Linked DNA regions of Danio rerio. The protein of the gene in region 1 binds, or shares a complex with, the protein of each later gene. Links are inferred from orthologs where the notes say so. Each region holds a gene or a part of one and is shown in the gene's direction. Other genes may lie near its edges.

Region 1 (17,320 bases):
TCTTAAAATTGTTCATAAATTAAAAACTGCTTTTATTCTAGACATAATAAAATAAAGACTTTCTTCAGAAGAAAAAATATCAGACATACTGTGAAAATGTCCTTGCTCTGTCAAACATCATTTGGGAAATATTTAAAAAAGAAAAAAAAAATTCAAAGGGGGGTCAATAATTCTGACTTCAAGTATATGTCTGACTAAACAGCTTGATAAGTAGATTTTTCACCATAGGTGCCCTTTAAATTTCAGAAATTCTAATAGAAATGAGCAGATGTCAACCTAGCAATGAAAAAAAGTAAGTTGCCTATAAAATTTGGAAACCATTTCTGGGTTTTTTATGTAAGCAAGTGTTTCACAGTACTTTAGAAATACGCAAAAATGCATCTGTCAATGTTTTCAATCTATTTTATTTAATTTACCAAAGTCACACAAGTGGCAATTTCACATCCGTCACATCCATAACTGAGAGATGTCACATCCATAACAACAGTTTTTACCTCATAAATATGAAAATATTAAATTGAATAAAACCAATCATTTTTGTTTTATAGAGAGCCAACTTATATCCTTTTGATTATCATTATGTCTTTTGGGTTGTGCAGTTTAATTCACAGAATTTCTACAGAGTATGTTGTATACTGTAAACCCGCAGACTTTTTTTGTCACATCCATATGTTTATTTTCCACATTTAAAGTACAAAACATGTTTACAGATTGATGTTTTTCTGGTCCCATAACTCTGTAATTAGTTGTTCTGGAAAATATAAACAGATGGTTCAATTTAATGTTAACATACTTTCTATACGGATTTATGTGTTGAGTTTTTACTGCAAATGTCACATCCATAATGCTGGAATTGGTCAAATACATTTATAATCATTTATGTATAAAATCAAACAAAATAGGTCACAGAATGCATTAAAATGACAACCCTGGACAATATTACGTCTTATGTATCAAGTCAGCATATGACAACATACAGTATGTTCGGTATGAAACTTTTTAAAATATGTGAAATATTACATAACGTAAATGTTATTAATTACCAAATAATTTAAATAAAGTGAGTGTCAGATGACAGCATACTCTCTAAAAATGCTTGTCTGATTCAAGACAGATGTGGATAAAATATGGACAAACCCAAATACTCACTTAAAAAACAATATTAAAAAATTAACCCCCAGGTTTAATTTGACTAGAAACAAACCAGCATTTTATAAGTATTCAAACAGGTTAAAATGAGAAATTAATATGAACAGCATAGGGAATAACTGTTTTAAATCCATTTGAGTTTCTTTATTCTTTTAAACAAAAAAAGAAGATGTTTTGAAAAACGTTGGGATCCTGAAACTATTGACTTCCATAGAATTAGTTTTTCCTAGAATGGAAGTTAATGTTTATAGGTTTTCATCTTTCTTCCGAATATTGTCTTTTGTGATTAACAGAAAAAAAAAACTTTGGAATAATAATAATAATAATAATAATAATAAAAAAGGTTTGGAAGTACTTTAATAGTAAATAGTTAGTAAATACCTGAACTATCCCTTTAAATATATATTATTGACTAATACAGCATGATATTAAAAAAAAACTCATTTCAAAACTTATTTGACTTTCTTTCTTTGGTTAAACACAAAATACGTTATTCTGAAGAAAATTGTAACCTGCAACCTTTGACTTCCATAGTAGAAAAAAATAATTCTATAGAAGTCAATGGTTACAGGTTTTTGGCTTTCTTCAAAATATTTCATTTCTATATTCAACAGAATAAAGAAACTCAAAAGTTTGTAAGCACTGACGGGTGAATAAATACAAAATAAATGTTCAGTTCTTTTAACCATTATACATTTTTCTGCAAAAAAATGTGTTTAAGAAAGATGTTTTTTTAACAAACCTTTAACACAATATATCTGGGGCTTCTGAAAAAAAGCATTAAGGGCCAGAGCCCCAGAAGCAACTTCCCCTGTTAAGCCCCTGAATGAGTAAACAATGACAGCATTTTTCATTTTTTGGTGTTCCATACCAGCTGATTATCCTTTTTGGTTAAACCAGTGGGTCTCAAACTTTTTTCATCAAGTACCACCTCAGAAAAAAATAGTCTCTCCAAGTACCACCAAAATGAACAATATTGAAATACAGTAGCGTAGTAGGCCCAGTAAAGCAGCTACAACCCTGCACAGTTAAAAAAACGTGGCAGATTACCTCAAAAATATAGGCTATATGCCATATGGCATATTATATACATCATTTTTAATAAATTTTGAAATATGTGTAGCATGTACATGACATATTTCATTCCTTCACGTACCACTAGAAGGAAGCCTGCGTACCACTAGTGGTACACGTACCACAGTTTGAGAACCACTGGGTTAAACTATCTCTTTAAAGAAGCAAACCTCCTTGAAGGACACAGATGTTTTGGAAAGAGTCTCCTCTCAAGCACTCGCATCCTTCAGAGGTCACAGCTGTAATAGATGGCGCTGGACTCAAGAGCCGGAACAGCTCCATCAAACGGCCCTCGGGACGCCTAGAGGATCATTTCCCTCTTAACTGTCACTGCATTTATACAGAGCGGATGTGATCCCAAATAACCTGAGTCATGCTGGCAGTCCTGAGCTTCACGATAACATGCTTTATTGTTTTAAATATAATCACCATATACAGTAGCAGAGCCATAAACATTGCATGCCGTAAAATATTATTAATCGCAGATGAGTACACTTCTAGTAAAAATTGGGATTACTAAGACTTTGTTCTCAAAAAGCCTATTTTTTATTTTTTAATAATAATAATAACAATAATAATAATAATAATAATAATAATAATAAATATTGATATTATTATTATTATTATTATTCATATTTTCATTTTTGTTTTATTATTATTAATATTGCTGTTCTTATAATTACTATTATTATTATTATTATTATTATTATTATTATTATTATTAATATTAATATTATTATTATTATTATAACAACATTTTTATTATTATTACATAATATTAATATTATTTTTAGTATTATATTCTAATATTATTATTATTATAGTCCTCCTTTAGATATTTTTCACTTAAATGACAAATTTAGATTACAAAATGAAAACAGACTGAATTCTTTAATAACAGGAATAGGCTGTTTTTTCCAATCATGTTTTTTTTTTTTTTTTTGTCAAAACAATAAATATATGATGCTACCTCAAATGTATTATTATTATTATTATTATTATTATTATTATTATTATTATTATTATTATTATTATTATTGTTGTTATTATTATTATTTATTTATTATTATTAATAATATTATTATTACTACTACTATTATTATTATTCTTAGTAGTAGTAGTAGTAGTATTTAATTATTCTTTATTATTATTAATATTATTATTTTTACTATTATTATTATTATTATTATTGTTGTTGTATTATTATTTTATTATATAGTATATTTATTATTATTATTATTATTAATAATAATAATAATAATATTTTATTATTATTAATCTTATGGCGACATTATTGTTAATATTATTATTATTATTATTATTATTATTATTATTATTATTATTATTATTATTATTATTGTTATTGTTGTTATTATCAATAATAATGTATTAATGTATAAATGTATGATCAATAATAATGTCAAATGTATAAATAAATAAATAAATAAATAAATAAATAAATAAATAAATAAATAAATAAATAAATAAATAAATCGGCCCTGGCATTTTGGGACAGAGCGGCCCACTACATTCAATCAAATTGCTCCTCATCTGTGCACGACCTTAAATAGGTTTACCAACTCCTATTCTATAAAAGCACAAAACCCATAAATAGGAAATTATGAGAATTGACTAATTAAAAACTTTTAAAATATAACTTATTATTATTATATAATAATATTATTATTATTATACAATTATAAACCACACTTGAACTCCATCTTATGTGTGCCTGTGTGTTTTGAGGAAGCCTATATTAAATAATGAACATAACAAAAACGGCTTGCAGATGCGCACAAATAATGTTAATTAACAAAATAAAATTAAAGTTGTATCACAGAACCTTAAAAAATGTTTGACTCAACAATGAAACATAAAACATAGCTTAAAGATTGTAAATAGTCAATTAAATGAACTTAAACAATTATTTGCAAAAAATGCAACAAATATTTGTTTGGGCCTGAACTACAAAACTATATGTTAAAAAAGTATTAGTTTTGCATAAGTTGCACACTAGTTTGGTCATGTATAAATATCATTATAACCATATTGTATAAATATTATTGTAACTTTATAGGCCTACATCATGCTGACAAACAAAAACAAAATGTCATGATATTTCATGCAATTGTCTTCTGACCGAATGCATCTTAAAATATATGAATGACACTCCTCAGCTTGAGAAGCATACATTCTTTATGATATATATATATAATTTGTAAAATAGAGACTGACAGGTTATAGAAACAGCATAGGAGGAAGTTGCCGCGGGCCTTGGTGCAGATAAAAAGTAAAAAAAAATAGTAAATTTTCATTGACGGATAGGTAACTATATAGAATAGACAGGAATATATAATGTTCTGTGGAATAGTTGTCGATCCACTGCGCACTACAGACGCAATTGCCTATTTGCCGCTTCTGCTCTCCTTATGCGTGTGTGGGGTGAGAAGCAGGGGTAACTCTCGACTATTTTGACAAATACACAGACGTTGCATGCTTACACAGAGCCCAAAATGGAAGTTTGGGATTGGGTCAGCCCAATGTCAATAAAGAAAAGAACCAAATTATGTCACATGGGCCTGTCTGTTCGAAAATGAATCACCTTCAGAGCATCAAAGATCACAGCTTTCGTCAATTAATTAGGCAAAATAACACGACAGTCTGCTAAGTGTTTTAATGGGTCGATCAGATCAGATCAGAAGAAGATGATCAGCTGGTCCAAAAAGTATGTAAATTATAATTTTATGTGAGAAGCTATACATGCCATACAGATTATTGAAAGTTTAAAGCAATGCGCTTGCTGCTTTTGTACAGTTTGTCTTAAGTAAAACCACTGTCCATTGAGACAATCCCTTTTTCCTTTTCTTTGATGCGTTCAGATTAATAAATATCTACTCTCATTGACTGCATGACTTATTGTGACTACTTAAATTTTAATTCAGCAATTTATTTTTTTTAAAGCTAATTGATTAAACTAAACAGTAACTCATGATATTTCAAAAAAAGCAATTCAAATATTAATATTTATTTCTTAAAAGTAATGCGTTACTTTACTTGTTACTTAAAAAAGTGATATTATTATGTAACTTGCTTTGCTTCAATGTGTTACCCCAACACTGATAATAATTGATCATAACAGAACAGCAAATCAGCATAACCATTGCTGAAGGATCACATGAAAATGAAGTCTGGGGTAAATTCAACTTTTATTTTTTTTTCTATTGTATTTCTAATCAAATAAATGCATGTGTGGTGAGAAAAAAAACGTAATAAACTTGACTTACAAAAAAAAAAGAAAAGAAAAGAAAAAAATAAATAAATACCAATTCCAAACTTTTTGACCAGTTGTGACCAGTTTGAATTCATGAATAAAGCATTTCAGCAAATGTATAAAAGATTCATTGCAGATATCAAAGGAACTCTTGCACACAGGAACTTGAGGAACTTAAAGAGATAAGCCGAAGAGGGAGGGAAAAACCAAAATAGAGGAAGCAGGGAGGGGGAGGGTTTGTGCAGGTTGGAGACTCAACCCACAGTGTAGAATAAGAGGAGATCGAGAGAGGAGAGACCGACCAGAGAGACAGAGCGTTTATATTCTCCCACTCTCAACACAAGAAGACAGCATTTAGACTATACTATACTTATCCAGAGATAAACACAGACTTCAAAGAACATGAAACCTGGTGAGTCACTGTTCATTTTACAGTTTGGGCATGATTTGTTTGCGATTGAAATTATGCCGTTTTCATAGTTTTTTCTGTAGTAGGAGCAATAACAACAAAATAATAATAATACTAATTAAAAAATATTATTATTATAATTATTATTATTATTAATATTATTATAATTATTATGTTTTTTAGAATTATTTAAAAATAATTTGATGTTTTGTCAGGATTTATTATTCAATAAGTGGTATTAATAATATTTCTCCAGATTTTTCCTAATTTTACAGTAGTCATTACAATGTCCTTCATAAGAGAGATACCTGAAATAAAACTATAAACACAAACACACACACACAAAAGTTAAGTGTTGTCAAGGAAAAAATTAGCTTATTTAAAAAAAAAATTAAAAAAAAAAAAAAAATATATATATATATATATATATATATATATATATATATATATATATATATATATATATATATATATATATATATATATATAACAATCCTAATACGTTCAATTATCAAATATCAAATGTTCTTTGCTATAAACAAAACTTGAATCTAACTAGCAAAACCCTAGAAGACAAAACAATGATAACCACTGCTGGAAATGAATATAATCACAGACCACAGAGACTGCAATGAATTATTCTAGAAACGTATACTTGCATAACATACTTAGTTTTGTCCCAGTTAACCATATTATGTCTGCCATTGTTATCTCTTTATACTGCATACTGTTCTTCTGTAAAATAATAATAATATCACAATACAAACTTGCATAATAAAACATGGGTAAGGACACCCTAAACTAAACGTCAAGATCATTTAACTTCGGTAAATATTAATTAGAAGGTTACATCTCAGCGATGATGCTGATAGCATGACATAAAAGAACCAAATGAGCAGGTCTCATCATGCCCCTGGTGTTTCAGAGAAACTGCAGAGAAAAAACGATTTGAACACAACAGCCTCTTGCATGCTAAGACAAGTTCAGATAATGCAGAAGTATACTGAAGATATGTGGGAACACAGGAACTAATACTTCAGGAACTTATTTTCACTTTGACAATGGCTTTGAGCTCTGGAAAGGCAGGAAAACAGACACACAGATTTGGTGTCATTTAATAGGATTTCTGCAAAAACAATTTTTCAGACATTGCAAAGATATGGTGTAACTGTAAAACTGTTCACTGTACTTAACAGAAAAAAAGTTATGTAAACTCAAAATTTGATTACTGTATATTAAACTGAAATATGGATATCCGCAGCGCTTCGGTTCTCAGAATCAAACACAGAATGAATAAATCATTAACTACAGCTTTTCCAAGCACAGTTTATTCAGTTATTTAGGTCAGTGAAATGACTGTTCAGATATATAAATGTATGTAAGTGTAAGCTTCAATTGTAAATAAAGGGGACCTGCTGTACAAGATGCTCCTTTTTACAAGATGTAAAATAAGTCTCCTATGTTCCTAGAGTGTGTACTTGAAGTTTCAGCTCAAAATATCCTACAAACTATATTTTATAACTCTTGAAATCTACCCCTTTTAGACTTTGATCCTAATGTGCAGTTTTGGTGACTGTCACTTTAATTTAAAAATAGCTTGAAAAGTTCCCATGGTGACCTGTCAAGTTTATCACGTGACCCACCAGCCCCGATGATCTATGTATATATTGTATTTTGTTTCTTCATGAGGAATGTATATTTTGTCTTTTTAACAGCTTAATAATGAGAGTATTATTTGTTATATGATGGATAACCGTCACCACTGCTGTAGCTAAAGGGCATATAGCTGCGATCTGATGTTAACAAGTGGCATTTTTATTATGCGATTATTAGATATAGCTGAGAATACACTAATTAATATTGCATAATCTGATCAAATTTTATTTTATTAGATTATGCTTTAGTTACGCGAGTATCCATAGCTGTATTCCATCTAGACCTCACCCTCTTCTGCAGCGCGATGAAGTCTAGATGGGCTACAGCTAAGGATACTCACATCAATGTAGCATTCCTTTTTTGTGACACAGCACAACAAATAACATTTTAACCGTGAGGTCGGGTTTAGGGTTGAGGTAGGGGTAGACGCTAATAAAATATAATAATGCGTAATTTAATAAATAATATCAATACTTCACGGTAACTTCTAATTGCAGCTGTATCCCTATCAAAGCTGTTGGATTGATATCATGCTTATTCATAATTTTACAAACCTTAAATGTGTTGCAAAAACACATTGATCTGCTTCATAAGACACACATTAACACCCTGGCAGCTAATGGGTTGGTTATACAACCCATTTATGCGCTTTTGGAAGCTTCAAAATAAAAGCCACTATCCAACACATCATAAAAAAGCTAGGTTAAATGTTTTAAGTTGTAGTTTTCAAGCATGTTCTTGTAGTATCAAAATGTAAAAATTGTAAAAGTTCTGTAAAAATATGCATTATACAAAAATTTGTAAACTATTAGGTTTTACAGTGTAAAAAAAGAGTGGTCAGAATCCAGAAATATTGATGGCCCTCCATGCCTTATGACTACAGTATGTGTGACATTTTATGACAATATTTGCTTGTTTCACTTAGGCTAATGTAGCTACAACAAGACACTGTACAGTTAAGTTGTAAATTTCGCATAGCAGATGCAGTAATATGTATCTCCAGCACTTTAGTTCTCAGCATTAAGCATGCAGAATGAATAAATCATACTCTACTGCTTTAGTGATCACAATTTATACTTTTATTTTGGTCAGTGATATGACAGTTCATATATATTATTTTGTTATTATACAAAAAAATGAACACAACGTTTTAAAATAAATGCATTATTATTTAAAAAAAGAAAAGAAAATATATATATATATATATATATATATATATATGAAATGATCTATACATTTCTTGCAATTTTTTGTGAGATTCAGCATAAGTTGAAAACTGTTCTTAAACGTTGTTCTCACTGTAAAAATATTTAGTTTCCAAATAAACATTAAATAAAACCAATCATTAATTAAACATTAAATTGAAAAAAAATAATTAAATGTAACTCAAAAAACAACCTAATTAAGTGTTATACTGTCGATTAACAGAGGTTGAAAAACTACTATGAATAGTTAAAAATTTATTAAAAAATACATGAATTCACTTAAAACTAAATTAAATATATAGATTTTAATAAGCTAATTTAAAACCATTATAGTAAAATGTAAGTATTAAATTGTATTTTACAGTAACTGTAAGCAAATGGCAATGTAATTATCTTGATATTAATAAAAAGCAAATAAATACTACAGAAGAAAGTTCATTCTTGAAAAGAAAATCTTAAATAGTTCAACTGGATCCTGTTTTCTAAATAAAAAAAAAATACTTTATTATACTTAAATAATAAATGTCAGATAAAATCTTATTAGGGATGCTCATTTCGGTAAAATTTTGCCAACCAACAACCGCCACTTGTAAATCGAATATTAACTGTTAACTAGTCAGATTGTAACAACTACTTTTTTTTTAAGCTAAATTAAAGAAATTGAGAGACCACAAAAACAACTTTCAGAGATTCATGTGTATTTAGAATAAATGTATATGACAACAGGTATGAATAATTATTGTTACACACTGGGGATATGCAATGATCAGCAGTCAACTCATTAATGATCACTTTTCGACAGAAATAAGCATTTGATAAGTGTCTTTCTCATTGAATCCAGTATTTATAGCAAGCAAAAAAGATACCATCAGTCCTTAAGTGAATCACATGAAAGATCAATTTCAGCAAACAGTTCATCAATGGTTGGCCACGGAATCAGTAGGAAAGTGGATGGGAAAAGTCTGCGGATATGAGGATGGATTGTCCAGGTCCTGTTTTGATGACTTAAAGTGTATACCAAAAACCCTATCTGAGGTATAAGAACAAAAATGTTCTCAAATAAGGGCATCAACAAACAACAGCGCAGTGAAGAAGCCTTTCCATGTGCTAGGCACCATACTTCCTCCCTACTGCTTCTACTCTACCTCCTTTTAAGCAGATTGGAGACTTACTACCTAGATCCCCCCCTAATGGGAGAGATAGCTACTACAGGTAGAATTTTCAAATAGTAACAGGAAAACTGTTACAAGATTAATATTAAAATATTATTTAATTCTATAAATGTTAGACTAGAGCTCATACAATTTAAAGTGATGCATAGATTACACTATACTAAAGCTAAACTTAACAAGCTGTATCCTTCTATCTCTCCTCTGTGTGATAAATGCAATGGCGCAGTCGGGACTTATGGTCATATATTCTGGTGCTGTCCAGAAGTATCTGAGTTTTGGAAAAGTATCTTCAGACTTTATTCCCAGGCTGTTGAAATGGACTTTAAAACTGATGCGGAATTAGCACTATTTGGATATTCAGACCAGGCTCTAATTTCGCCTAAGCATAAACAACTCTCCCTTATGTTTGGTATGATATGGTGATGACCAATAGAGTGATTCTGATGGAGTGAAATCAACGACACCTCCAAAATGTTTTAAATGGTTAGTTTAAATGGTTTCTGTCCTCAAGCTGGAAAGGTTTTGTTTCTCTAGATTTGGCAAACAGAAGTTGTATGACAAAATATGGGGCCCCTTCCTTAGATGTATAGGTTAATAATGCTTCTGTAATTATTTTTTGTTGGTAACCTTTTTCGGTAACACTTTATAATAACTACACACTATAAATCATTTATTAAGCATTGGCATCAAGTGAGTTCATTATCTGTTAAGCATTAACTCTACATTAATAAACGTTAGTAAGCAGTTTACAACTGCAGCTACAAATGCTCTATTATTGACTTATAAGCACCAATATATTGTGTTTAATAATTGTACTTTCATACTTTGTTAATGATTTTATTTTTCATTACTAAATTAAGTATCGCATTATTTACAAATTATTTGTATTTAAGAGTAGCTGAGAGTTTTAAGGAACATTCAGAATGAGTGAGTAAATGATTAATAAACTATTGAAATCAACCTTCATATACTGTATCTTATTAATCAGGCATACATTAATAAGTACTATATATGTTAATAAATGCTTTATTAACTCAACTTCATCTAGTTTTGTGACCTAATCTAAAGTAAGGACTATTTCTGCTTTATAAATCCCTTATAAATGACAAATAAAGGCTCAATTAAATTTTAAACAGGAAAAATGACGTTATTCATTCCTATTCATTTAAAGATACACACATGAAACTGTTTTATTTAAAAATAAATCTTTGCAACCTTACCTGAAATAAAATCACTGTTGAGTTTAAACATTGCATCTTACTATATTGTTATATTATTATAGTGTCGTTGATGTTTTATCCAGTTTTATGTTGTATTTTGACACTCCTATTATTCAGCAATGTTTAAACTTTACAGTAATTTTACTTTTTAAATAAGATTGCAAGGATTGATGTTCATTTGATTCTGAGCCTTTATTGGTCATTTATAAGGGATTTGTAAAGCAGAAATAGTCCTCACTTTAGATTAGGTCACAAAACTGCATGAAGTTGAGTTAATAAAGCATTTTTAACGTATTAGTTAACTATTAGTATATGCCTAAATAATAAGATATATAAATGTTGATTTCAATAGTTTATTAATCATTTACTAACTCATTCTGAATGATCCTAAAACCCCTCAACTACTCTTAAATACAACTGGTTTGTAAATGATGCAATTCTTAATTTATAGAAATTAAAAATAAATCATTAACAAAGAATGAAAGTACAATTATTAAGCACATTATAAATGTTTTTGTAAGACAAGAATAAAGCATTTGTAGCTACAGTCATAAACTGTTTATTAACGTTTATTAATGTAGAGTTAATGCTTAACAGATAATGAACTCACTAGATGCTAATGCTTAGTAAATGATTAATAGTGTGTAGTTATTATAAAGTGTTACCCATTTTTCTTGCTTTCCTTATTATTCCATTAGTCTGTTTTTTTTATTTATTTTTTTATTTTTTATGGTGATGTATAATTGCTGTATTGTCTGCTAGTGTTTTGGTGCATGTTCTAGTTAATATCAATTAATAACACCAAGATAATTTTCTTAACATATATACATGATGTACACTATATACTGTTATATTTTTATAAAAACTTCTATAAATGAAGTATATATATATAATTTTGGCTATTCAAAATGTAAAAAAAACAAAAAAAAAAACAAGGCTATTCAAAATGTAAAATTAATGTAAACGTTAGACAAAAACTATTTAAATTCAAAATTTAATTGTTTATGAGAATTTTTGTTTAACTTGTAACACTGCAGATTTCTTCATGTAAACAACATAAACCATCAAGATCCTGGCTTGACAGTTTCTTTCTGTGTTTCTTTATTACAGAAATAAAAACACAGGCATGTTAATGCCATTTGAATTTTGAAACAATCATTGCCAATAAAGACAAAATTGATTTGCAAGTTGGATTCCAAGTGGACTGCAAATAAATCCCAACATACAGGCATTGCAAATATGGAAAATGGAAAATAATAATAACAATAAAGTACTGAATGCAAACAATTGCACTGTGAATTTTGTAAAGTTTTTGTAAAGTTGCATTGCTGTGAGTTGAGAACATTAATTATAAAGCAGAAACAATTTTGCTTAGTCCTTCTTTTCATTGAGCCAGTTGCTAAAACAGTCCAGTCTGGATGTATCTATTTTGTGTTACAATAAATATTGCAATTTAAAATACTGATTTATTTTAATAGTAGAACAACAGCGTACAGAACAGAACATCTTTTTACGAACCTGTAAAGTTTCCAACAGCATAGAAAAAAGAATAGAATAAAGTCCTCCTTTAGATATTTTTCACTTAAATGACAAATTTAGATTACAAAATGAAAACAGACTGAATTCTTTAATAACAGGAATAGGCTGTTTTTTCCAATCATGTTTTTTTTTGGTCAAAAAAATAAATATATAATGCTACCTCAAATGTATTATTATTATTATTATTACTATTATTTATTATTATTATTATTATTATTATTATTATTATTATTATTATATCACAAAACATCTGTCAACATTTTTGTATAGAAATTATAAGTATGTCTTATGGTTATGACTTATTTCCATCTCACTCACGGTTAATGTGTGCATGGTGCGTGTGATGAAAGACAATGACAAACTGTCAATTCACCTTAAGGCTCATACTGTATGTTGACTTTTAGTAAAGTATAGACTACTATCACATATGTTTTGTTGTTTACGTATAATATTGCATTAATTTGTATACATGTTTTAGAAGCCATAAAATAAAGACCTTAGTTTGGTGCGGAGTAAAATATTATGCAAAAATCAAGACATTCTTTGTACTTGTTTGATTTATAGATTATGTAGGATTTATTATTTTTTTAAATGGATTGTTGTACACTGAATCATCAACAGCCTATTTGTTGAGTTTATGATGCGGATCTAGGACCGAAGCGATCAGCATCAGTGCTGGTTTGTGTTAACTCGTCTGTGTCTAACTGTGACAAGAAATAACCTTCTTTCTTTTTGCGTCTTTGACAAAATATGTCTAGTCATGAGTGGTTGCACATGTCACCGTCCCACGAGTTTACAAATATGTGTTCCAGTTGCACATTTACCATCCATTCACACGGGTCAACAGCATCAACGCTTCCCATTCACTTTGAATGGGTGATGTCAGGCGTTGCCGAACTGCATTGTGGATCAGTCGGCGCTGCTTCAGTGATATTGTTCTCTGCAGAAGTTAGAACTCTCAACTTTAAGTGCAAACGGAAGTGTCAGCCAATCAGATCGCTGTATACAACTACACCAGCTCAGACAGTAGCCGATTGCTGACTAATTTCATAAGCTGACGCTGCTATGACGATCGCGTCAGCCCCAACTTCAGACACACCCTCTGTCAAGAGATGACACGGAAGCGCTGTGTGAATCGGGCGTTAGGGGCACCACACCACCTTTTATGTTGACGAAAAAAAAAAAAGAGCGGTGCTCTTTTTATGTTCCTAGGAAATAACTAAATCAGCTGACCCGTATTGTGTGTGAGTGTTGCTGTCCATGTTGTTATAATAGTAATATTTAATAATATTGTGATATTCAAGATTTGTAAAGTCATACAGCTCTGGATAACTTGAAACAGCGACCACAAGTCTCTCCACCATCTTCAAAAGTTATCCGTAGTTGTCTTGACAACACAAACACTGCTGTCAACTCAATGCCTCTGTTTTCATTTGATCGAAGAATGAAAAAGATGCGACTGACGTAATGCTCCTTTACCGCTCGGCTGACTTTTATTTTAACTGCAAGCACATAGCACACAAGGCCAAAATGCAAGGCGCACAAACACTCGGGCTGTTAGTAAACCATTCAAATGGTGCGCCTCTCTAAAAAAATTATAAAATAGAATTTTTAAATCTTTTAACTGATACCATTAACCGGTTACAAATGCATCATTTCGGTTAAACATCCTCTAAATTTCGATGAACATCCTTAAATCTTATAATTTAATCATGATAATGATTGTTTTCCAAATCAAAGTCATGTATTGTGAGCAACATGCAGGGTGGAAAAAAACATTTGCGTCAATAAGTCAACTTCAACAGCAGATAAGTTGACCTTGTGAAAGGCCAGGGTTAGTTCAGATTGTGAAATATCTTTTGTGCAACTCCACAAAAATGTGATATTTATGACTGAACAATTCATGATATTTATGGCCCTTATTATATCAAGTGCACACAAACATTATAGACTTTATCCTGACCTTTTTTTTACTCTCTTTCTCAGTCCCTCACTCTCTCTCTTACATACACATATACACACAGTCTCTGCATGTGGGAGGAACAGTTGGTGTTCAACTTCACCCTGAACAGACAAGTTTATCATCCCGTCTGAACACAGAGTCAGTTATTTTCCATTTAAGTCCAAGACGTTTCACTCCCCGACCCTCATGCCAGACATCTTCAGCAAAAAGCTCTTGAAAACACCTGTTTCCCTCCCAAAAAAAAAAAGATCAATAACTCAAGATGGCACCCAGGACAGTTTTGTGTCTAGTAAACAGACGGTTTATGATCTCATAAAAGACTCTGTTCCAGTTTGGCACCATTGAATATTGCAAACATTCAGAGGCATTAGAGCTGCCCTTTTATGTCTTTACAGTTAATCCTGCGAGGAGAGAACGAGAGACATGTTTTTTCCTGCCTGCAGAAATTACTCATGTATGCTTATGAAATGCTGTGTGGGTTGAGAGATATGCTCGGGTGTGGAATATTGGTGCTTTATGGGATGTCATGCAGTCACATTGTTTCAAGAGGAGAATTAAAAGGTGTTTTGGGATGTTAACGCCAATGCATGTTTTGTCACCAGCAGAGTTTTTAAAGGTGCCATTTTTACAAGATTAGGTCTCTTATGTCCGTAGAGCAGTGCTTTTCTATAAGTTTGTTATGGGGGCCAGTTCATAAAAAGCATAAGCGGAGAGATATGACTTGCAATATAAGTGATGACACAACAGCATATACGTTTTTCGACTGAACTAAATTTATTTTTGATGTCTTGGTCACACTATTTGGAGGGCTGGAACGAGTTGCCCTAGAGTGTGTGTGTGTGAAGTTTCCGCTCAATATACCACTCAAATAGTGTTTAATAACTTAATTTGAAACTGACCCTTTTAGGCTTTGATCATAACTGTGCCATTTTTGCTTTAAATTTCAAATGAGATTATGCTATTTTCAAAAGAGGACAGAGCTTGGGCTGTGGTTCGATTTTTTTGTTGGTCAATTTTTTGACAGATACTGAGATTTCGATTCGATTTGTGATTTAATGATTTGATTTTTGTCGTAGCTTCTTACTGCTAAAATGCAGTGAGTGTTAGTTAAAAAAAGGAACTGAAACGATATTAAGTTAAACATTTAATGAAATTTGTTAACTTCAAATTTAAGCTAAACATATATTCTCAATTTTCTCTTGGAGCAAACAGTAAACACAAATAGAAATTACTTTTCTGTAAACATGTTGAACTCAAATTAGAGAGATAGTGTAACTTTTTATAAAAACTAAATAAATAATAATAAAGTAAATAATATACATTTTAATAATATAAAATAATTATAATAAAAATGTAGAACACTCAGCCAACTAACATGGCTAAATCAACTCTGAAATTGTACTTTGCTGCTGCTTGCTACAAGATTGAGTGTCACTGGCAATACTTTCAATTGACTTTTAAGCAAGACACTCCTCATACTTTTAGATGCTGGTTGCTGTTTTTCCTCATGCTATGGCAACATATCTTACAAATGACCTGTTTTTGTTCAGTGTCTGTGACTCTGAAACAAAAATATTCCCATATTACCGATGTCCTGTTTTTCTTTGATATTAATACGTCTATTAATGCTTCTGAAGCAGCAGAATTTGGTTGTGCAATTCTGATTGGGTAGCACGAAAGTGTGCTCACTCAATTGGCTATCACACACAAATGGCAGTGCATTTGCTCTGGGTGGGGAAATGAAATAATAATTATAATATATATTTCATATCGCAGCCTCTTGCGATTAGCTAATCGTAACGTTTCAAATCACAATTGCGATTCATTTTTGAATAATCCCACAGCCCTAGGCAGAGCTACAATTGCTTATAAATACAAGTAACGTTACATTTGTGAAAAACTGAAAATGTTCAATTCAGCTTTATTTGTATAGCGCTTTTACAATGTAGATTGTGTCAAAGCAGCTTCACATAAATGGTCATAGTAACTGGAACAGTGTGGTTCAGGTTTTAGTGTTTAAGTTCAGTTCAGTTTAGTTTAGCTCAGTTCAGTGTTGTTTTAATCATTACTGAGAGTTCAAACACTGAAGAGCCAATTCATCGATGCGTAGCTCTACCAATCCTGAACCATGCGAGGCAGTGGCCACAGCGGAGAGGGAAAAAAAACTTCACCTGATGGGAGTGAAGAAAAAAAACCTTGAGGGAACCAGACTCAGTTGGGCACGACCATTTTAATTTCTCCGCTGGCCAAAAGTCTTGTGCAGAGCTTCATTTGCCGTGGTTTAGGCAGGAAGATGGCCTCAGCGAAGACTCGTCTGTCCCTGGAACGTCGCTGGAATCAGACTCATGATCTCCACTCCCCACGACCATCAGCGCAGCAGCAGCTCAGGATATGGCCTGGTCCCGGATATGGAAACCTTGGGATCATCACGTCGCTGGTCTTGGATCCAATCAGTGACTCCGCATAATCTGAGGACCTCGGGATGAGTATCCCCAGGTGAAAATAGAGAATAAAGAGAATAATTAGCGTAGCTGCTGTTCATCGTGTATATAAGCAAGATGCAGAAGCCTGTGTGGAACCCGCTAGGTGATGCATTGAGTGTATGCTTTATTAAACAGATAGGTCTTTAATCTAGTTTTGAACTGGGAGAGTGTGTCTGAGC
Region 2 (17,303 bases), on another chromosome or scaffold:
TGTATGTATGTTACATGTTGTCTTGTTGTTGTCTATGTACAGCAGAACCTTTTTTCTAAAGCAAATTTCTCCTACGGGAGACAATAAATTTTACCTTGACCTTCTGAACAGTCTTTATATTTTTGCGGAAGAGAGACGCAAGTGGCTCTCTATACGTTTCTAAAATCAAAAGATTCAGTAAAAGCAGAACGACCCTGATGTGCGTATGTCTTTCCATTTTGACGCTTTGGCTTTTATAGCCGTCACCAAGCAACAGCTGTACACACAACAGCAGCTCGATGATGCAAGTGTACCGGGGTTCAGAAGAACAAAAAGACAGTAGCTGCGTCCCAAATAGCATATTTATGCACTATTCTACGCCATTTTGTAGTATAAACAGTGCAAGTAGTGTGTTTACACTGAAAACTCTAAGGCTGCGTCCGAAACCGCATACTTCCATACTATACAGTATGCTAAAATCAGTATGTGAGCCAAGTAGTATGTCCGAATTCAAAAGCTGCGTCTCAAATCGCATATTTATGCACTATTCTACGCCAATAGAGTGATTATAGCACCTCCCGATGGTGAATGTGGTTATACTCGTGGCAGGTATTATTTGATAGTTTGGTCATTTATTTTACTGATTTGGTGACCGTCAAACGTCATCAGGGAAACGGTTTGAATTTTCCCTGAGTAAAAAACATTAGTGTGCCATTTGGGACAACACTACATACGTATACTACCCTGTTGAGTGTGTAAGTGCATAAGTACATAGTGCATGAGTGCATGTTGTGCCATTTGAGAGCTTTAGAATTCGAAAAACAGTTTGCCAGTCTTGCGAGAAGTACCCGGATGACTTACTACTTCTGGCGAGATTCTGGAGTGCCCATCCCATGCATGCTGCGCTATCCCATGATGCCCCGCGAGCTAATTCATGAATGGGAGTAAAGCGACGCAACTGATGCATGTACGTCACATGACTATGTCAAAATGGTGGATGTAGTACGTCTGAATTCCATTCATACTTTTTACATTAATACTGTATAGAACGTACTTTTATAACGGCCGAGTAGTACGTTTAAATTCAAATGCAGTACCTACTGAGTACTAGTAGGTTTCGGACACAGCCTAAAAATAATAAGTCCACTTTAATTACCCGGATGATGATGCACTCATTCAGATGGTAAAATGAAGTGTGTGATGATGGACACTTCACGCACTCAACGACCGCAGGTTTGCTCACGTAGCAGAAGGGGCGGACCAGGTAATCGACCCAAGTGTGAAAGCACTCATATTTTCCATATTTTAAAATCATGTTTTGGAACAATTTTTATTTAATGTCAAGCTTCTTGTCCTTCTTGTCTTAATGAGAAGCTTCTTGAAGGGTGCGGGGCATGTCAGACACTAGAAAGTATTTGATTGTTCAGAAGAGTTGATGAGAAACTAAAATATGAGGTGACCTCAAAAAAATCATTGATCCATTTAGGTGGAAGTGACAAACTGAAGGCTTTTATTGTTTATATCTTTTAAATGCAAATTCTGTCACTTTTTTGTAGCACACTAGCTTATAGGTATCCTAAAGACAGACATACTGATAATAAACTTCTATACAAAACTTAATTTTCATTTCACTGGACCTTTAAACGCGGTGAGTTTATAATGGCATGACAATTCACTAGACGTGCCTAAGAATTCCCTGTGCATAAAGCCCATGAAAGTTTAACACTGATACTCCATACCTGTCAACATTGGCATGTGAAAATAAATGATATGCCCACCATAATAAGGGATGCCCCCGACCGCCGTTTTATTGTAAATAAACAGTTAATGGTCAGTAATACATTTTATTATTATTATTATTTACAAAAGAAAAAATAAATAGCAAACATCAGCAGCAAATCAATTATTAAAATTAATAGCTATCCCTACTGAAAAAAACAGCTTTAACCAGTCTAGGCTGGTTGGCTGGTTTTAGCTTGTCGACCAGGCTGGTTTTAGAGTGGTTTTGGCCATTTCCAGGCTGGTTTCCAGCCATTTCCAGCCTGGTCTAAGCTGGTCAGGCTGGGAGATGTCAACCAGCTAAAACCAGCCTAGGCTGGTTTAAGCTGGATTTTTCTGGGATTTTTTTTTTTCAGCAGCTTCAAATCACGAGGACAGAATCCGTTAAGGAAACAGCGTCTGTTTACCAATGGAGCGCGTCTGTCACGGTTGCAGGTTTGTGCGCTCTTCCGGAGTGTCTGTTTGATCATGTGAGTTTGTTTTGTTGCCCATGTGTATTTGTTTTGGTCACGTGTTATGACGGCACTCAGTTGGTTTGATTAGTTCGCCAGCTGAGGCTCATTATCACGTCTATATATATGCGACATTTTCTGTGTTTCCTTGTCAGTTCCTTACAAGTGCTTATGTGTTCGTTTGTCTGTGCTCAGGACCGTGCAGAGTTACCACTGGACCCTGTTTTCCCGTCTGATCCCTGCTCTGGTTTCTCCTTGTCCTAGCACCGCACACACTCTTTACATTTATCTTGACTGTGTCAATAAATACTCTTTTCACTTGCACTTGGATCCATCTGAACATTCTTTGTACGTGACAGCGTCAGTTGACAGTCATGCACCTCTATGTGACTGTTTTGAGGATTGCATATGAACGGGAGACGGAAGGGATGTGAAAAGGAAGGGAATCGAGCCGTTTTTATGTTTATTTCACAAGCCCCTTTCACACATACAGACCTTTGGTTGTATGTGTGAACAGGTCCTTTTTGAAAATACCGGTAAATTCGTTCTGGCTATTTTCCGGAAAGAGAAGTTGTAACATTACCGGCAATTTGCCGCAATGCTGCGCTGTGTGAATGCAGAAGGAAGATTGCCGTAATAAGCGCGTGCACGTCTAGAACGTGCTGACGTGAGACACCTGCTTTAGCCAATCACAACAGTCAGACGCATTTACGTCCGCGCGGTTTGTGAGGATAAAAGCCTTTGAATATTTTTCCAGACACATTTAGCTGCTAGAAGTTAGTCAGATCACGTTTATATGTTTTTCTTAATGCCAACTGTGTAAATAATCATCGATGAAATGCTTATGATAAGCCGTTGTTTGTTTACCTTCAAGCTTTGCGTGCGCCTATGAGCGCCGCACACGCACATACTATGAACATCTCGACATGCGAAAGTGATCCAGCGAAAGTTGTTCACAATATTGATCATCCACAGAGTTTGTAATTTAGTCAAATGTTTACAAATACAAGCGCAGCCGTTTAAAGCTTATTTGTGGTGAATGATGTCAGAATTTACCGGTATTTTGGAATGGATGTGAGAATGCTCTTTTCCGGAAAATTTCCGTAACGTCCTTGTCTGTGTAAACAGCGCTTTTTTCAATATACCGTTAAAGTTGTTCCGGAAATTTTCCAGAAATTTACCGGTATCACTGTGTGAAAGGGGCTACAGTCTTTTCATGCCTAAACAAAGCGAAAGCACAGAACAGACTCGCATTTAAGAGCAAAGGGCGACCCCTTGCGGTTCGGCGGTATGGGTTGCATATAGGGAGGCTCAGCTCTTTAATGTTTATTTGCCACCCTTCAGAGAAACACTGAAAATACAGGAAAAATACGGGAAAATATCATTACATGATCATAGCGGGATAGAACTGTAAAAATCCCAGGAAAAATAGGAGGGTTGACAGGTATGTGATACTCACAGCAATGCCAAGCTCTTTGATGACGTAGACAGACATGCACTTAGCAGAAAAATGAGACACGAGCTTATCCTGACAGCTGAGGAGAGAAACCTGCAGATATAGGTTTGACTTTATTAAATACATTATATTTTATAATCATCAAAATATCATTACTTCTTTCATTTAAAACATACCAGTTTAGCCATGAGATTCCTCTCAGTGAACAATCTCCTGATGACATCTTGATAATATACAGCGGCGTCCGCTGTAAAACTGTGTGCTGCGAGTCTGCTAATGACGCTCTCAATGAGACTGAGACTCAAACACGTATCATCTGTGTTTGTGACAGTCTGAACACAGGAGGAGATTCTGCTGGCGAGATCTTCACTGCTCAAACCTGGAGCCGATCCAGCATGCAACAGGCCAAAAACACTGTGGAAATCCAGCTCTGAGACCTCCATAATGACATACTGTGAATAAAGCATCCATGAGAGTGATCATCAGTGAGTCTTAAAGCAGTGGTCTCAAACTCTATTCCTGGAGGGCCACAGCTCTGCACAGTTCAGCTCCAACCACCTTTAACTCACACCTGCTTAAAGGGCCATGAAACCCCCTCGTTTCAGCAGGGTGTTTTCACACCTCTACTTTGGAAAAAGTCAGAAAAGTGGGCGTGTCCAGCTCTGTTTAGGGGGGAGTGTCGGAGGAACTAAAGTGGGAGGGTGTGGGAGTGTCTATTTGGGCACGCTGAGTTTTAGAGTCAAAACACACACACACAGGGGAGAAAGGGAGTGTGTTTACATGGACATCTGTAGTAGAATTATTTGCCAAATTATTAAATGGTGGACTTTAATTGCAGTTTGGCTCTTTCATTCAGGGAATTCATTCATGTCCCTCGCAACAAACGAGATATTTGATTCGAGGAACTGCTCTAAGCGTGTATTTTTCATGCAATGTTTGATACCGCACGGCGAATGAGAGAAAAAAAACCACCGCATTTCCCGGAAACTTAGATGCAAAGGCAGGTAGTGTCAGAAAGCCACATGTGTTATTCCGGTCACAAAATGTGGTGAAAATCCTACACGAGGTTAAAGTTTGGTTGTGGTGCTAACATGTTTACACTCGGTGCAATAGTTAACTTAATTCGATACGAACAAACTGAATAAACAAAGAGCACTGGTCGCTCACTTACCAAATCTGTAGAGACAGGACAATCACCAGCAACTAGAGCCGCATCTTTATTAAGAGGAGACTACAAGCGAATCCGGATCTCAGCGTTTGCAGATGAGAACAGCTCTCAGGTAAACAATAATCCTCCTTAGACATGTAAGTTATTGTTGTTGAGCGTCGCGTACACTGTTAATCCACGCGTGACCCCAGCTGCGCTCTCACAGAGAGAAAATGAAAACAAAACTTAACTGCAGCAAACTATAAAAGCAACACTTCACGCTTGTTTTGCCAACACAACGTGGCGTCTCTGCCGTCTAAACACTGTGACAGTAATGAATATTAATGAAGTTGCACAATAGAGCGCGCTGATTGGTTTGAACCAAGCTTTACTCATGCATTAATGCATCACACTGTAAGACGTAATAAGACACACTCTGGCACAGACGTCCAGTCTGCACGCTGGAATACACGCTATTGTCTCATGGCCGTGACTCAGCTTCAAAAATTTGTTTCAAACCAAAAGTATAGATTTGCTTGAAATAACGCAAAAACAACCAATTTACACTTTTTAGTGAAATATAGTGTCCTAATAGTGTTTTTAGCAGTGTGGGACACATATACGACTGTCAACAGCTCAAAAAATGTGTCTTGGTGTTTCATGACCCTTTAATAATCTCTAGTAGTCTTGAACACCTTCATTAATTGGATCAGCTGTGTTTGATTAGAATTGGAACAAAAACTGTGCAGAGTCGTGACCCTCCAGGAATTGAGTTCGAGACCCATGTCTTAAATGGATAGTTAATCCAAAAAATGACAATTGTGTCATCATTTACTTGTTTAAACCTTTTCAAACCATTTCAAAATATTTATCATTTCAACTTTTCGAGTGCCTTTTAGAAGTGGCTGTTCATCACAGCAGGTGAAAATAGTTCAAATATATAAAAATAAGTCTTAAAAAGCATAGCTCAACCCCCAAAAAAGTCATCATTTATTACTTGTTTCTAACCATTATGCATTTCTTTCTTCCGTTAAATACATAAGAAGATATTGTGAAGAAAGCTGGAAACAGGTAACTATTGACAACCATAGTATTTGTTTTTTCTACGATGGAAGTCAATGGTTACAGGGTTCCAACATTTTTCAAAATATCTTCTTTTTTGTTTAACTGTTACGACTAGTTTATTTATTTTTGCTGAGCATTACATGTGTCTTTTTCTTTGTCCTGCCTTGTGTTGTTTCCTGTTACCCCATAGGCTCCGATTTTAAAATGGTCCAGGCTCTGATTGGCTGCTGGTCATGGAGGTCTATAAAAGGGAACTTCCAGCAGAGTTCGGGGAGCTCCTGGATTTTCCTACCCCTCCGGCCAAGCTTTAGTCTTGTACAAATGCCCATGTATACTAGCAACATTTTGAGAGTTTAAGCTTGTAGGGGTGGCCTGCAGGTCAGTGTATCTTTTGATCATTGGATATTCATTTTAGAAATAGATATTGAAAATCAAAAAACGAGTCGTTTTTTTTTTTTTTTTTATTAAAAAACGAAAATCAAAAACGCATTGTATTTAAATTTTAGTTTTTTAATTTTAAAATGAAAATCAAAAAAACGACTCGTTTTTTGATTTTCAATATCTGTTTCTAAAATGAATATCCAATGATCAAAAGACCGTTTTAGTTTTCTGGTGATTTTTTTTTTTGTTATTCGAAATAAAAAATGAAAATTAAATCATTTTTGAATTTAGGTTTTCCGTTTTTCACCATGAAAAAAGAAAAACGAGCTATTTTTTGATTTTCGTTTTAAAATTTAAAAACGAAAATCAAAAAACGCTTTGAATTTCAATTTAACTTTTTTTTTTTTTTTTTTTTTGAAAATCCAACACCCACAGACTTTTTCGTTTATTGAGACTATGTTGTTTCCCCCTAGACTTGGGGCGTAATATCAACAGAATAAAGAGACGCAAAAATGTTTGGAACCGCTTGAGGATGAGTAAATAGTAAATAAATTTTCATTTCAATATAACAATACATTTTTAAAATCTCAGAACCGATTTATCAGACAAAAAAAAAAGTGTGGAAGTCCAGTCCTAAAGCCTCCATCATGACATACTGTGAAAAAACAATCATAAGAGTGATCATCAGTAAGTCTTAAAGGGATAGTTCACCCAAAAATAAAAACAATAAAAATTCTGCATCATTTACTCACACTTTACTTGTTTCAAACTATTTCAAATTATTTATCATTTCAACTTTTAGAGGGCCTTTGAAAAGTCATCATTAACTAATTTTTTACTTATTTCAAACTTCTTTTTTTCGTTAAATACATAAAAAGATATTGTGAAGAAAGCTGAAAACCGTTAACCCATGACTTCCATAGTACAGTATTTGTTTTTACTATGATGGAAGTCAATGGTTACATGGTTTCAACATTCCTCAAAATATCTTCTTTTGTGTTCAACAGAAGAAAGAAAAACATACATGTTTGGATCTGTTTGAGGATAAGTAAATAGTAAGTACATTTTCATTTCATCCCACTAATGTTTCATATGTTTAATGCATCAACAACACACTTTTAATTCCTCAATTTTGCTGGATTTACAATTTAAAGTTGATAGTGTTTGTGTAAAAGGTCATTTTTGTTTTGTTCTGTAAACTACTAATGACTTTTCTGAGTTTAAAATAAGAAATGTTGTCATTTAGAACAAAAAATAGGTACTTGTATCAAGTGAAATCGTATATGTTGATATTATGAGAGGCTGGGAGATGACCAGCTAAAACCATCTTGACCAGCCTAGCCAGGCTGGGAGCCCAGCCAAAACTAGCAATGTCCAGCTTTAACCAGGCTGGCCAAGCTGATTTTAGCTGGTCATTTTCCAGCCTGACCAGCTAAGACCAGGCTGGAAATGGCCGGAAATCAGCCTGGAAGTGGCCAAAATCCCTCTAAAACCAGGCTGGTCATCCAGCTAAAAACCAGCCAACCAGCTTAGGACAGAGGTAAAGTTGGTTTTATATTTTTTATATTCTGACTTTCCACTTAATAATATAATGTCAGATGAGTATTCTTTGCTAATTCTAAATAGTGAAATCATATTAGCAGAAAATGTCCATTAGATAGTGTTAATGTTGCTTTAAAGTCATCCCTGCATGCTTTTTCAGACTCAATATTCAACTTAGCATGGTAAACAATATATGGGCCATTAAATGAACGAATGTGCGAATATCAAACCTGCTTTACCTCAGTCAGCTTAGGCTGGTTTAGGCTGTTTTTTGAGTAGGGAGAACTTATATTTTTTCACAAATTAATCAAAAAAACTTTTTTTAAAGTGCATTAAGGATTTAATGTACTTTGATTGTTTAATACATAAACAACACACTTTATAATTACTCAATTCTGCTGGAGTTACAATTGATAGTTCACAGTGTTTGCGTAAACAGTCTTTTTTGTTTCGTTCTGTTAACTATTGATGACATTTTTAAGTTTAAAATAATAAATGTTGTCATTTAGATCCAAAGTAATGCTCCTTATATCAAGTGAAATCTTATATGTTGATATTACGAGAGAAATAAATAGCTTAGTGCATCACTTACAAGCTTTATGGCGATTTTCCAACCATCTCAACGTTTATATAATTTATTTATAATAATGAACAACAACAGAACTGATATTTATCACATAGTAATGGTAAACACTTTTTAAAGTACAATAAAGATGAATAATTTGACTGTTTAATATATAAACAACACTTATAATTCATCAATTTTGCTGGAGTTACATTCGATAGTTGATAGTGTTTGCATAAAAGGTCATTTTTGTTTTGTTCTGTAAACTACTGATGACATTTTTAAGTTTAAAATAATAAATATTTTCATTTAGATCCAAAGTAATGCTCCTTATATCAAGTGAAATCTTATATGTTGATATTACGAGAGAAATAAATAGCTTAGTGTATCACTTACAAGCTTTATGGCGAATTTCCAATCAAAATTTTTAATTGATTCAGTCTCTGAGATATTCATTTCCTAAAGAAATATTAGTAATATTTAGAAATTCTTAAAGTGTAATTAGAGATATAACGTTACAATACACATAAAATCGTACTGAAATCCAGTGACTTACTTACGTGACTTTACGAAAGATGCTGCGTATAAGCAGAACTCGTAACGTGATAAAAACTGCTCATTTTTATATTTGTGTAGAACGATATCATAATATCCGCGGAAATGAACCACATGTACTGCTGTTTGCCTTTATTCAGCCACAATTGTCGCAAAAAAATAAATATGCCAAGCGGCGTACTGCTTTTACAGCATTATGATGTAGGCGTGACGTATTTGACAGCTCGAATCTGATTGGGCGTTGCGGTTTGAAGCCTTGGAGATGTTCATGGCTACCTGACTGTATTTGTACTCTGTATGTATGTTATATATATTTTCTATATTTGTCCCCTGTGCCATTATGGCCTTAATTGAGCCGATATTGTTTGACGTTTCCTCTAGGTGAAGGTTAAGAGAGTTTGAGTAACTTTAAAAGCGGTGTTGTTCTGAAAATGGTCAATAACCGCTGGCTAAAAGCTAACAATGCTAATGTAGTAACTGTGCATGTCAGTCAGAGAGTTTAGCGAATTCTGCCTCACTTTAGTCCTCGATATGAGTGTTAACGTGTTATGTGTTTGAGTGGTGTTCAGATTAAGTTAGTTACTCCTGGCTTTTAAAAGAGCCGGTTTGGTGTTTGTTTGAGGCTCATTTTAGCTGCTTTAGCGCACCAGCTAACAGATTCATTGTTCTCAGTGGAGCAGCTGCTGCAAACATCAATTGTTTACCTTTTATTTACCGTGGTGATGGAGAAACTCGGGTCGTTTGTGGTGTGTGTCGTTTATGTTAGCGAATCTGTGTGTGTTTAAAGGTGAATGTAAGTATTCAAATGCTCGTTTTTCACAAAATGAAAGACAATAACATTAAGAACTGATGGGTGGTTGTAAATATTGAATGCTGAGGTTAGTATTAGAGAAATGTTCAATGTAATGTGACGGATAATTGTGTAAATAAGACGTCGTCGCTTAGATTTGGCTAATTGAATGTGATGCATCTGCATTTATACGCGTTAATGCATGTAAAAATGATGTGTGTGTGTGTGTATTGAGTTATATGTGTGTGTGCATTCAAATACTGATGTTTCTGCATTCTTCATGTCTAGAATGGAGATCTGAAGTGGATGTGAATATGGATGCAGAACACACAGGCTGTTTCAGATCGACAAGACATTAATGAATGGTAATTTCACATATAGCTGGGTTTTTTTTTTGTTTGCTTTAAATAGATTTTAAAGTAATTTCTGGCATTTCGATGTGTTGTCTTATGTTGTTTGTGTAGGGTTTAGTGGCTTTGTACGGAGAATAATATTTCCAGTATGTCAGTATTTCCATATTTTAACTATTCACTTTTCCTGCAAAAGTATTGCAAGATTACTGATGCTCTGATCAGGATTTTTGCAGCCGATACCGAGTACTGATTCCTTTTCATGGTGATTGGCTGATAATGAGTACCGATTCGGATGCGTTAAGCTTTATAATGCATAAAACCCTCAAACCCTCTTTTCCCTCTAGGTATAACACTTAAGTGGAGATCTCTCCTTAGCCAATATAATAAATGAAGGATACTGCATATAACCCCCTAAACACGTCTCTTATAACCACTATAAATAGGTATTTATTATAAGATTATAATAAGTAATTATAAAACTAACAATGCAGTTTGGAAACGTTGCAAATGATTTAAAAAAATTCAACATGTCTCAATCAAGAAATGTTTGAAGCGTATATTTGATGCATAGGAAGTTAAAATGCACACCTATAAATCTATTTCCTATAAATCCTACTTTACTAATAGGAAGTATGTCTATAAAGTACTGTTGATTGTAATAAGTAAATTACAAGATGTTATATTATTAAATATTCATGTCAAAAAATATTTTAATGTTTTTTTTATTATTATTAATTGTATGTTATACTTTCAGCCATGTTTTATTAAACTTGCAATATTGTCAAAAACACAGAACTTTCAGTTCTTTGATGTTAAAAGACCTAAATGCATGTAAGGTCATTCAAATATTTTGCTCATGTCCAACTAACATAAACACTTGTGATTAGTTCATGAGATCGACCAGGTCAGCGAGTACCGATCGATCGATCGATCTCCGGCAGATCGATCGGTGCATCCCTATGCAAAATCATTTTAAAAGCGAAGTATGGAGGTTTCCTTTTTCAAAAATCTAAGATAAAAAGTTTTTAGCTTATATTTAGTCTGTCAAACCATCATGTGGTCCTCTTAGATATAAAGAACGACCAAATATTTTACATATAAATGTAAAATAATTTTGAATATTGTCAAATTTTAAAATAATAAATTTAACAATGGTGAAATGTAACTAGTTTGTAATACAATTGAATTAAAAATTAAATTATTTGTTTTTGTAATATATTAGTAATCCCTACATTTTATTTAATGATAATAAATTATAATTCTTATCTACAGAGCTATTGTCTGATGATTGGAATTTTGTTATATATACATTTGAAGACCAAATTATTAGCCCTCCTGTGATTTTTATTTATTTATTTTTTTTGTTTCAGATGTTTCCCAAGTTCTTATATTCAAGTTTTTTTCAACACAATTTTAAACAATAGTTTTGATAGCTAATTTATTTGTCTTGATGATGACAGTATTTAATTAGATATTTTTCAAGATACAAGTATTCAGTTTAAGTGCAATTTAACTAGCCAAGTTTGGTTAATTTGGCAAGTTATTGGCTAACTGTGTGTGTGTGTGTGTGTGTGTGTGTGTGTGTGTGTGTGTGTGTGTGTGTGTGTGTGTGTGTGTGTGTGTGTGTGTGTGTGTGTGTGTGTGTGTGTGTGTGTGTGTGTGTGTGTGTGTGTGTGTGTGTGTATGCTTTACAATATTATATTTGTACATATACATTAAGCTATTTTAACAAAATAACTTACAATATTGGTTCAGAAATTAGTATGTTTGGCAAAATGTTAAATAAAATGTTCAAAAATAGCAAAAATCAAGAGAAAAAAATGTAATATTTAGTTTGAAATGTTGTAGATTGTAATATTTTTTGCAACACACACACACATATATATATATATATATATATATATATATAATTTCTGAATTTTTTATTGTATTTTATTTTAAAGAATATTAGAATATTTAGAAATCAATATAACCTTATATAGAATAAATTTATCTGTTTGGTTTTCTTCATTTATAATATAGTTGGCAAATGAATGAGAAAATATTCTAAACTGATTTAATCAGTATTAGAAAATACTCATTGTTAGCTTGAGTCTAAAAACACGATTGTCTGTTTGTGTGATCACTCAGATGGTGAATTAAAAGTTTTGAAAACAGTTTTTTTGCACTTTAATATAGCTTTGCATGTTTAATTATTCGTCCCTTGATTCACAGTGATGAGCTTGCCTATTGTTTTCACTTTATCGTGTCCGTGTGTGTGCAGGGACACAGCAGCGTCTGCCGGCAGTACTGCGCGATGTGACAGGATGCTGAACCATCACTGCAGAAGGAACCCAGAGCTGCAGGAGGAGCTGCAGATCCAGGCAGCGGTGGCGGCGGGCGATGTTTACACCGTCCGCAAGATGCTGGAGCAGGGCTACTCGCCCAAGATCAGAGACGCCAACGGCTGGACGCTGCTGCACTTCTCTGCAGCAAAGGGCAAGGAGCGCTGCGTGCGCGTCTTCCTCGAGCATGGAGGTAAATTATTTTATTAAAGCATTCAGTGTGACTTTTAAAACTATGTTAATTCAAACATTCATCATCATAAGGTCTTCCTAGGGTCACTCAGGCATTTTGTTATTGTCCCTATTCGTACTTTTTCGTACTTTTCAGTTAACGGTTAATCGGTTATTTTGATCATCCTTAACAACAGTCAATAAAGACCACAAAGATATATAAAATATATAAACAATAAAAAAAAAACATTTTTGAAAATCTACACATAATGTTTAATAATCATTTTCATTAACACCCGCCAACCCGCCAAATTTCAGCTGTGGTAGATTAGACAGACACTCCGACTAGCCACTTGTTGGAAATAATTTTTGAATTGTAGTTGTCTTAAAAGCAGGGTTCTACAATAAAGATGGCCCAGTATGCGTGCAAATGTGATCCTAAAATCGAGAAGCAGCATGACTGACAAAAGTAATTGTGTTCGCGTGAGCAAAAGAAAGCAGATGAATAGCGAATGAGAGGATGATAACTCTTACGTGCACAGGTGAGGTAATGCGCTTGGCTGTTTAAAAAGCGTGCGTGCTCCCGTTTCCTTTCCTGAAAATGCAATTGGTGCAATTCATCGGTTCTCTTTGAAATAGACTTGACAAAAGGTGATGCTCGTGCACCCACAGTACTCCTTCTTTCAAGAGCTCCTAATTTGTAAAAAGATGTGTTTTTGTAAGCAGCAGGGGTCACTTCCACCATTCACTTTCACCATTCTTTGAATAGATTATTAACAGGCCTAACGTAGCGCGACCATCCTTTAATTATCACACGCGCTATGTTTTCCACCTGCTTTCTTTTGCTTATGCCGAGTTCAGACTGCATGATTTTCAAAGTAGTCGTGTCACAGATGTTTTCACACTGCATGACTATCTGGGCTTGCGTTTCGTCGCTGCTTTGTTTACACTGCAAGATGGATCGGCGACAGGGGCTTTCACATTGCATGACTTTACTATAGGGAGAATCGCCGACAACTTCGTCCAAACTACGTCTCACAGCCAAAAACACGTAGTATATCTTTTGTTATTAAGTACATAATGAGAAAGAAGCCTTTAATGGGGTTGAACATGTACATGTTTGCTCATCTGGGTTTAAAGGGAATTAGCCATTTCCCCTCAACTTAAGTTGATATTAAGCGAATTTCTTTCTCTATGAAATGTCAAACAGACACGGTTGCTCCTGAGTCCTGTCAAACCTCCACTAGTTTTTCCTCCATTTCATGGGTACAAATAAACCGAAAAAGAGCGCTTTTAACTTCTCCCCCAGCCTCCCGCTGGCCTGCAGCAGGTATACACACACGCACACACAAGTGAAAGCTGCTCTCTCGTTGGCTGTAGGCGATCGCTGATGTTATTTTCAGTCAAAACTCAATTCACACGGCATGATTTGAATTGCCGACAGCTCCAGATATTTAGCATGACAAATATCTCACAGGCATCGGCGACTCATCGGTGATTCTCTCAGATCGCGTCTTTGAAAGTTCATACTGTGTGATTGTCACTCACGTGCACGAGCAGCGATTTGCCCGTGATTTCAGGCATTTGTCGACGATTTCTCAAAACCTATCGGCGAGCCAAAATCAGGGCTAAAATCACGCAGTCTGAACTAGGCATTAGTTGTTTTTGTTAATGTATGGTTTAGCTATATTTTGTACAATAAGATTGCTTTAATAGGAGATTGACTTCCCGTTTAGTTAACTGGTGATCTGAGACCTTTGACCAGGACACAGACTATGCATTGTTTCAGATACATGACAATATCATTTTTAAAAAGAAAAGTTTTGTTTAATAAAAAAGTGTATGTATAGAGCTATATTTTGCTTGTTTTGACACATTATTTAAAATGTATGGCTAAGAAATAATAATTTATTGTTGGTGTGGTCAGAGATAAATTAAATAATTAATGGTAAATCCTTAATTTTGAACCCTGAAAAGTCATGTGAAATAAAAACTAATTGCTATGAAACCACAACCCATATGCTCATGCACATTGAGCAAGGTCATGCACAACACACAAAGTGAAATGCATGCGGACATGACCCAAAATCAAGTCATTTTAGCATGTTAAAGTCAAATTTATGCATATAAAATATGTTTTCCTAACAATAAAATTGTGGCTAGTGAAAATGGAGAGTGGCTAGTGATGTTCACACACATTCACACGGGGCACAGCTTCAACTCTTCCCAATTGCTTTTAATGGGTGACGTCAGGCGTTGCCGAACTGCATTGTGGATCCGTCAGCGCTGCTTCAGAGGCGTTGCTCACTGCAGAAGTTGAGACTTGTTTAACTTTTCAAGCGCCGACGGAAAGCCAATCAGATTGCTGTATGCAAATACACCAGCTCAGACAGTGGCCTATTGCTGACTAATTTCATTGACTGATGCGGCTACGACGATCGCATCAGCCCCAACTTTCGACACGCCCTCTGTCAAGCGTTGACGATGTAGCCCTGTGTGACGGGCGTTAACGTCAAGCCCTGTATATATTTATATTAATGTTTTGTATTTTTTATGTGAAGGGGATGGTGGTGTGAATGTTTTCTTCTTATTTTATTTAATTTCTTTATGTGCAGTTTTTATTTTTCACTCTGCCTTTTCGTTTTAGTTTTGCTCGTTTAAGGTAAACTTAATGAATTTTAGAAATATTGCTTTGGCATCTAACTAAAATAAAACAAGTTCAATTTTTAAATACATTTTAGTGAACTCAATTACCCTTTGATTAGGCACTACTTAATTGTAGGTGGGAATCTTCTCATGTAATTGTGTAATTATGATTTTGAAATGATCAAGATCTTTTTCTCAGTAGAACAATTCTGATAATCCAGGTTATTATTGTGCCTGATGTGATTTATTATGTCATTAGCTTCCGCATCTCTTCTGGTCATCTATTATGCTTTAAAATACCGGACTGGTGTTCAACTGGTACTTTCATAGACAAACGCTGCCAACAGTTAATGTTTGTGCATTAAAGGTACACATATGTGCCTAAAAAATAAGAAAGCTACTGTTTAGCTACTACTATATCCTTTAAAGGTGTCAATGCAGACCATTTAGGTACAAATGTGTTCCTTTCTAAAAGGTACTGCCGCATTGGCAGCTTTTGTACCTTTATTTCTGAGAGTGAATGCTTATGTATGAGTGTAGTAATGCATGCGTAACATTAGGGGGCGCAATAAAACAGACTATTTTTGTCAAGAATGATCCACTGTGCAGTCGCATTGCTTTCTGTGCTGAGATTCAGAATACATTTAGTTCAAATCAGAGGGTGAAAATAGATAGCATAAAAATATTACTATGTTATCTGATTTATTGCCAAGCTAATAATAAATAAAAATAATAAATGCGTAACTATTTAATGATCTAGCTGTATTTTAAAAATAATTAAAAACAAATAATTAATAATAATTATAATTGTTGTCATAAAAGTATAAAAATCTATCAAATATTAAGTAATATTGGCTTTTCTTTTGATTATTTGACTTTGTTGGAAAATATACTTAAAATAATATATTATAATAAAGGTGCAGTAGGTGATTGTCAACACTTTTTGTTGTGCTGGTTGAAAGTCTCTTCACATTCCAATAGTATTGATTAAAGTAAATGATCTAAATGTATTTAAATGTATTTTTATTTTCTGGGTAAGGCATAAAACTAAAAAATGTTCATCCAATTAAAATAGTTTCTGGCTGACATCTCCCATAATTCCAATAAGTAGCTCAAACTGTCAGCAAATGCAGATTTCAACTAAAGGCTTTGGACGGCAGAGGTGGGACTGTGTTTCAGAGATTTATGCTTGCCGGTTAACATTATCGCAGTTGTCCTATTGCATCTTTAATATCAAGAATAAAAGCAATTATAACATTTTGTAATGTTAGAATTTGATTTATTTTTCCAAACATTCAATGTCTGAATATTCATGTGGTTGCACCTTCCCCAAAAAGTCATATAAATCATAGCATTTCCCTTTTTAGCCCTAATAAATAAGCGATTTATTAAATTATATATAGCTATGAAATTAGTTTAATCAGTCTAGTCATGTGGCAAAAAATTATTCAAAAGTAAATAACAATAATTATTTAGTATTATTATTTTAAAAGCGTTAAAAGTCAAATTTAATATTTTAAAATAGTACTGGGCAAAAATCAATCGCATCCAAAATAAAAGTTTGTTTTGACATGTATGTGTGTGTGCTGTGTGTTTATTATGTATATAAAAAATACACACGTGCATGCATGCATGCATATACAGTTGAAGAATTATTAGTCCTCCTTTTGAAATTTTTTTTCTTTTTTAAATATTTCCCAATTGGTGTTAATAGAGCAAGGAAATTTTCACAGTAAGTCTGGTAATATTTTTTTTTTCTTTAGGAGAAAGTCTTATTTATTTATTTATTTTATTTTTCAAAAAACTATTTAAGGTCAAAATTATTAGCCCCTTTAAGCTATTTTTGGTCCCGCTTTATATTAAGTGGCCTTAACTACTATGTAAAAAAAATAAATAAATACGATGTACTTACTGTGTTTATAATGTATTTGGGAACACTTGTGGTGCTTTTGAGTTGGGATAGAGGTTGGGTTATGGACAGGTTTGGTGGTATGGGTAGGTTTAAGGGTGGGTTAAGGTGTAAGGGATGGTCAGTGTATTTACAAATGTAATTACAAAATTTAATTACAGATGTAATTACATACATGTATTTAATCAA

Evidence for each region.
Region 2: the proteins of lzts1 (region 1) and asb7 are in contact, whole or in part, in a crystal structure (PDB 8Y1U), measured with the Homo sapiens proteins. The link is inferred for Danio rerio from reciprocal best matches to the Homo sapiens genes LZTS1 and ASB7. Residues at the interface, in NP_001349813.1 of Homo sapiens: Arg346, Glu348, Leu349, Leu352, Met353, Glu355, Gln356, Leu358, Leu359, Glu360, Lys362, Leu363, Arg364, Ser365, Tyr366; in NP_937886.1 of Homo sapiens: Asn46, Trp48, Ala56, Ile79, Phe82, Tyr87, Met90, His91, Asp116, Trp118, Val123, His126, Tyr127, Ser147, Lys149, Thr151, Gln155, Leu156, Ile159, Arg160, Phe182, Arg185, Tyr186, Ile189, Lys190, Arg210, Leu220, Leu223.

The regions. Positions count from the first base shown.
Region 1 is NC_133183.1:47,936,922-47,954,241, forward strand, and holds the start of lzts1 (leucine zipper putative tumor suppressor 1), read left to right. Parts: upstream 1-5,757; 5' UTR 5,758-5,906; intron 5,907-16,562; exon of another isoform or gene 16,563-17,320. UniProt on the Homo sapiens protein: Involved in the regulation of cell growth. May stabilize the active CDC2-cyclin B1 complex and thereby contribute to the regulation of the cell cycle and the prevention of uncontrolled cell proliferation. May act as a tumor suppressor.
Region 2 is NC_133182.1:9,748,569-9,765,871, reverse strand, and holds the start of asb7 (ankyrin repeat and SOCS box protein 7), read left to right. Parts: upstream 1-9,160; 5' UTR 9,161-9,216; intron 9,217-9,999; 5' UTR 10,000-10,076; intron 10,077-12,327; 5' UTR 12,328-12,370; coding exon 12,371-12,581; intron 12,582-17,303. Other genes in the region: lins1 (protein Lines homolog 1), read right to left, coding at 3,670-3,759, 3,843-4,118, 8,763-8,822. UniProt on the Homo sapiens protein: Probable substrate-recognition component of a SCF-like ECS (Elongin-Cullin-SOCS-box protein) E3 ubiquitin-protein ligase complex which mediates the ubiquitination and subsequent proteasomal degradation of target proteins.